Macaca fascicularis: one gene and its partner. The protein of the gene in region 1 binds, or shares a complex with, the protein of each later gene. Links are inferred from orthologs where the notes say so. Each region holds a gene or a part of one and is shown on either strand. Other genes may lie near its edges.

The links. Proteins that work in one complex are often made in the same cells at the same time.
Region 2: the proteins of TAPBPL (region 1) and major histocompatibility complex class I-related gene protein are in contact, whole or in part, in an NMR structure (PDB 7RNO), measured with the Homo sapiens proteins. The link is inferred for Macaca fascicularis from reciprocal best matches to the Homo sapiens genes TAPBPL and MR1. Residues at the interface, in NP_060479.3 of Homo sapiens: His47, Arg48, Gly49, Ala50, Ala52, Ser53, Ser54, Leu129, Met131, Thr132, Glu133, Thr135, Arg228, Gln230, Lys232, Gly233, Arg234, Gly235, Thr280, Ile282, Gln293, Ile295, Gln297, Arg307, Leu308, Ser309, Ile320, Cys321, Asp322, Leu355; in NP_001372090.1 of Homo sapiens: Arg101, Arg104, His105, Asn107, Thr129, Gly130, Phe131, Leu132, Gln133, Ile143, Phe144, Asn145, Asp147, Thr148, Leu152, Ala153, Val154, His159, Thr160, Lys162, Gln163, Ala164, Ala167, Asn168, Gln169, His170, Thr213, Phe214, Pro215, Asp248.

The regions. Positions count from the first base shown.
Region 1 is NC_088385.1:7,380,196-7,383,851, forward strand, and holds part of TAPBPL (tapasin-related protein), read left to right. Parts: intron 1-2,720; coding exon 2,721-3,059; intron 3,060-3,656. UniProt on the Homo sapiens protein: Component of the antigen processing and presentation pathway, which binds to MHC class I coupled with beta2-microglobulin/B2M. Association between TAPBPR and MHC class I occurs in the absence of a functional peptide-loading complex (PLC).
Region 2 is NC_088375.1:38,540,514-38,542,959, forward strand, and holds part of major histocompatibility complex class I-related gene protein, read left to right. Parts: intron 1-443; coding exon 444-719; intron 720-1,658; coding exon 1,659-1,763; intron 1,764-2,446. UniProt on the Homo sapiens protein: Antigen-presenting molecule specialized in displaying microbial pyrimidine-based metabolites to alpha-beta T cell receptors (TCR) on innate-type mucosal-associated invariant T (MAIT) cells.

The sequences.
Region 1 (3,656 bases):
CACATTAGAAAGAAAAGGTCCTCGCAGCTGTCCAGTGTCTACCACACTCCTGGCATGGGTAGATATTTCTCTTTTTATTCCAAACCTACAAAAAAAGGTGAAATTATAATATAATGAACACCTACATATCCTACACCTAGATCCACCAATTGTCACCAATTTGCCACATTCTCTCTCCCCCTGACTCCCCGTGTGTGTATATGTGTATGTGTGTATTTTCCTCTGAACTGAGAGTAAGTTGCAGAAGGCAACACTTGAACCCCAAATGCTCCCATCCATAGCATGTATTAGTTTACAGCGAAGGACAAGGACGTAATCCTTCATAGTTACAAAACCATCATGTCAGAAACAAACCAAAGTGGGGGAGTAGTCTACCCATGGTGCAGGCAATAAGGGAGTGCAGAGTGTAAAATATTTCAGAACAATAATAAAATTGGCTAAAAGTCAGATGGCTTTATAGTCTCACCATCTCCTGACATTGACAATTCTGAATATTATCAGTGATAAAATACTCCTCCCTGCCAGGGCAGACTGTCCCTATCCCCCGACACCACTGCCTAGTATGCCACGGATCTTCATCCTTTTAGATACTTTTTAATTGATACAATGATAGTCTCAACTATAAAGTTCAGGGCATGGTGATGCACACCTGTAGTCCAGCTACTCAGGAGGCTGAGGCAGGACAATTGCTTGAGCCCAGGAGTTTGAGTCCTGCCTGGGCAACATAGCGAGATCCTGTCTCTCTCTCTCTCTCTCTCTTTTTTTTTTTTTTTTAACAGAGTCTCATTCTGTCTCCCAGGCTGGAGTGCAGTGGCGCGATCTCGGCTCACTGCAACCTCTGCCTCCCAGGTTCAAGTGATTCTTGTGCCTCAGTCTCCCAAGTAGCTAGGATTACAGACGCACACCACTACACCAGCTAATTTTTGTATTTTTAGTAGAGATGGGTTTCACCATATTGGCCAGGCTGGTCTTGAACTCCTAATCTCAGGTGATCCACCCACCTCGGCCTTCCAAAGTGTTGGGATTACAGGCGTGAGCCACTGTGCCCAGCCTGAGACCCTTCTCTTAAAAAAATAATTAAAGGCCGGGCGCGGTGGCTCAAGCCTGTAATCCCAGCACTTTGGGAGGCCGAGGCGGGCGGATCACGAGGTCAGGAGATCGAGACCATCCTGGCTAACATGGGGAAACCCCGTCTCTACTAAAAAAATACAAAAAACTAGCTGGGCGAGGTGGCGGGCACCTGTAGTCCCAGCTACTCGGGAGGCTGAGGCAGGAGAATGGCGTAAACCCAGGAGGCGGAGCTTGCAGTGAGCTGAGATCCGGCCACTGCACTCCAGCCCGGGTGACAGAGCGAGACTCCGTCTCAAAAAAAAAAAAAAAAAAAAAAAAAAAAAATTAATAATAATAATAATTAAATGTCTCCAAATTCAAATTTCTCCACTTGTCCCAATATGTTTTTTTACTGCTTTCTTTTTCTAAGTACACAATTCAAACAAGAATCATGCAGTGCATTTAGTTGTGCTGTTCCCTATTTTAATCTAGAACATCTTTCACAGAATTGACATTTTTGAAGGGTCCAGGCTAGTGGTCTTGTAGAGTATCCCACCATTTAGATTTGTCTGATTGTTTTCCTCATGACTGGATTTAGGTTAAGCATGTTTGGCACAGATACTACTACCACATGTTTTTTTTTTTTTTTTAATCGAGATGGAGTTTCGCTTATTGCCCAGGCAGGAGTGCAATGGCTCGATCTTGGCTCACCGCAACCTCCACCTCCTGGGTTCAAGTGATTCTCCTGCCTGAGCCGCCCAAGTAGCTGGGATTACATGCATGTGCCACCACACCCAGCTAATTTTTGTATTATTAGTAGATACGGTGTTTCTCTATGTTGGTAAGGTTGTTCTGGAACTCCTGGCCTTAGGTGATCCACCCACCTCAGCTTCCTAATAACTCATACTTTTTTTTTTTTTTACATTTTTTTGAGATGGAGTTTCACTCTTGTCACCCAGGCTGGAATGCAATGGTGCAATCTCGGCTCACTGCAACCTCCACCTCCCAGATTCAAGCAATTCTCCTGCCTCAGCCTCTTGAGTAGCTGAAATTACAGGCACCTGCCATGATGCCCGGCTAATTTTTGTATTTTTAGTAGAGACAGGGTTTTACCATGTTGGCCAGGCTGGTCTCAAACTCCTGACCTCAGGTGATCCACCCACCTTGGCCTCCCAAAGTGCTGGGATTACAGGCGTGAGCCACCGCGCCCAGCCACCGCGTGCTTTTTAAACTCTTGTTCCTAGTCTTCACAGCATCCTTGCTTAAGTAGGTGAGCTTGGTAACACCAAGTGACTTGTCAAAGGTCACAGAGCCAGTAAGTGGAACACCAGGGTTTCAGAGCTTTTTCTGCTACTCTAGTAGTACTTACCTGAAGATTGATGGTAACTCTTAATTTTGTATGTGTATTTTTCCTGGTGAGAGATCTATAGCTTTCACTAAATTATCCTAGGGTAAGTGATCCCAAAATGGTGATGGCCATCATGCGCACCATGCTGCCTTTCCAGAGCCCCATTTCTTTGTGGTTCCGTGTGATGGAAAATAAGCTCATCTGGCCTGTCAGGCACGGAAGAAGAGGCAGGTGTATGCCACACAACATGCCCACAGCTTGGAGATCAGGTGACCTCAAGGAGGAAGTAGCCCACAAATCACCCCTGTTTTCCTCTTCACAGTGGAGTTCCAGGTGACGACACAGACCCAATCCCTGACCTTCCTGCTGGGGTCCTCAGCCTCCTTGGACTGTGGCTTCTCCATGGCACCAGGCTTGGACCTCATCAGTGTGGAGTGGCGGCTGCAGCACAAGGGCAGGGGTCAGCTGGTGTACAGCTGGACCACAGGGCAGGGGCAGGCTGTGCGGAAGGGCGCTACACTGGAGCCTGAGCAGCTGGGCATGGCCAGGGATGCCTCCCTCACCCTGCCCAGCCTCACTATACAGGACGAGGGGACCTACGTTTGTCAGATCACCACCTCTCTGTACCGAACTCAGCAGATCATCCAGCTCAACATCCAAGGTGAGGCCAGGACATGGTTATCCCAGGGAAGGGGATATAACATGTCCACTGGGAGCGTTTTCAGACTGGGACCCAAATGCAAGAGTGCTTTCCTGAGAAGCAGGCTTCAGTCCCACCACTTACATGCCATCTTCACCGCGGAAGCACAGATGGCATCAGATAAGGAGTCCCGCTGGACTCCAGGATAATTCCACCAAGAGATTTCCAGTCCAGGATCCTGCTGCCCTGCTGTGGCCGGCTGTCTCCATCACCCCAGTCCTTTTGGACCACATCCTGAATGGCAGCAGCAGCAAACCAAGGCAGGGCAGTGGAAGCGGTTCTGACCATTATCACTGCTATCCTTTAAAATCTCTGGCGTAGAGGCTGGGCGCGGTGGCTCACGCCTATAATCCCAGCACTTTGGGAGGCCAAGGCAGGCAGATCACGAGGTCAGGAGTTTGACACCAGCCTGGTCAATATGGTGAAACTCCATCTCTACTAAAAATACAAAAAATAGCCAGGCGTGGTGGTGCACGCCTGTAGTCCCAGCTACTCAGGAGGCTGAGGCAGACGAATTGCTTGAACCCAGGAGGCAGAGGTTGCAGTGAGCTGAGATGC
Region 2 (2,446 bases), on another chromosome or scaffold:
TGAGTAGGGATAGCTGTGTTATTTACGTGCACTAAACACAGAGCTGAGAAGAAGGAGTTCTAATCTCCAGTCCATTACTGACTTACTTATAGGGAACAGTCACTTACACGTTTTGTGGGTCAGTTTTCCTTGACACATAAAGGTATTTCAAAGGTTACTAGTAAACAACCCCAGCACACTTTCCAAACAGTCAAAGCTGTATGACTTTCCCCCCTTAGAGGATGGAGCATGGCCCAACTCCACATTCTTCACTACCTATCACCTTGCCATTGTGGCAGGTACACATAAATAAGTTTGTTGTTGATGAACCTGAGTTCTGGGTCATTCTTAGCTTTAGAAGTTTTCTGCAATAAAGAAAAATTAGGAAAGCCAGTTGCCAAGTTCTAATATTATACGCTTAGTACATAAGGCGCTTTGATTTAACTTTAGCTTCTTTTTCCTAGAGCCCCCACTGGTCAGAGTGAATCGCAAAGAAACTTTCCCAGGGGTTACAACTCTCTTCTGCAAAGCTTATAGCTTTTACCCCCCAGAAATTTACATGACATGGATGAAAAACGGCGAAGAAATTGTCCAAGAAATGGATTATGGAGACATTCTTCCCAGTGGGGATGGAACCTATCAGACGTGGGCATCAGTTGAGCTTGATCCTAAGAGCAGCAACCTTTACTCCTGCCATGTGGAGCACTGCGGTGTCCATATGGTTCTTCAGGTCCCCCAGGGTAAGGATGGGGATCGTGGCTGTCTGGGGAGAGCCTAGAGAAAGGGGAGAGCAGGAAGCCATGCTCCCTGCCAGGGAGGGGAGGGGAGGATAGATCACTGCCTCACCCAGTGTGCCTTAGAATGGGTCTTTTAAATAAGTGGTTCTCACACTTTTTAGAACCAGGACGCCTTCACACTATTAAAAAAATTATTGAGGACCCCAAAGAACTTTTGTTGATGTGGGTTTTATAGCTATTGCTATTTACCACATTACAAATTAAAGATTTAAAAATTAAACACGAACGGGAGCAGTGGCTCACACCTGTGATCCCAGCACTATGGGAGGCTGAGGCAGGTGGATCACTTTAGGTCAGGAGTTTGAGACCAGCCTGGCCAACATGGTGAAACCCCATCTTTACTAAAAATACAAAAATTAACCAGGCGTGGTGGTGCACACCTGTAATCCCAGCTACTCCGGAGGCTGAGGCAGGAGAATTGCTTGAACCTGGGAGGTGGAGATTGCAGTGAGCCGAGATCGCACCACTGTACTCCAGCCTGTGTGAAGGGAGCGAGACTCCATCTCAAAAAAAAAAAAAAAAAATCAAACACAATCCAGGCACAGTGGCTCACTCCTGGGCATGATGGCATGCACCTGTAGTCCCAGCTACTCAGGAGGCTAAGGTGGGAGGATCGCTTGAGCCCAGGAGGTCAAGGCTGCAGTGAGCTGTAATGGCACCACTGCACTTCCACCTGAACGACAGAGTGAGACCCTGTCTCAAAAAAAAAAAAAAATTAACACAAGAAAACACAAGCACATATTCCATTAGCAGTCAGATTGATGAGTGAGAAGCAACAGTAAGGAAAATGGTGTTGGGTTTCCTGATGATCACAGGGACAAAAGTCCCAGAAAGTTAACACAGAAGGGACTTGTGAATTTTTTCTTATTTGCTTGCTTTCAGAATCAGAAACCATCCCTCTCGTAATGAAAGCTGTCTCTGGGTCCATTATCCTTGTCATTGTGCTGGCTGGAGTTGGTGTTCTAGTCTGGAGAAGAAGGCCCCGAGGTGAGAGGCACATGGAAGGGACGCAGGGGACTGCAGACTCTCCTGCGCCTCTCCAGAGTTTTATTTTCTGCACCTGCTGCTCCATGCTCCATTCAGAAATGGCTTGGCTGTCAGGCTGGGATCACAGAAGGATCCGGGACAACCCTCCCGCCACATAGGGGACACAAAGCATGGATAAAGCTTGCAGGGAGAGTGGTCTCTTTTCATAGGTGATGCCTGACATCAACAAAATAGTACAACATCTGTCCAGGGGAACTGCCCCCTAGAAGTTGGGTCAGAGAAGATATGGGGATCCTGATTTGTCTTTTTCCAAACCATCTTTTTATTATTAATTACTATTGACTTCTGAGGCAGTGCCCTTTGTTTCAAGACTTCAGTCAGTTTTCCCATTTTGACCACCATTCTTTCATCCCAAGCATATGAAAGTCCTTTTCCTTGTAAATTCATTTTTCAAAACATTAAATGTGTAAGAGTAGATACCTTCAGATAATGGGACTTAGAGTAAGGAAAAGAGGAGGAGAAGTAGGAGGTATATAGGCTCTTGATAATGTGGAATAACATAAATTCATTCAATAAGTATACATTATTGACCTACTGTGCTCCAGGCACTGTACTGGTTGCTGGGATATAACAATGAACAAGACAGACAGGATCCGTGTTGTCATAGAGCTTACAACAGAGCC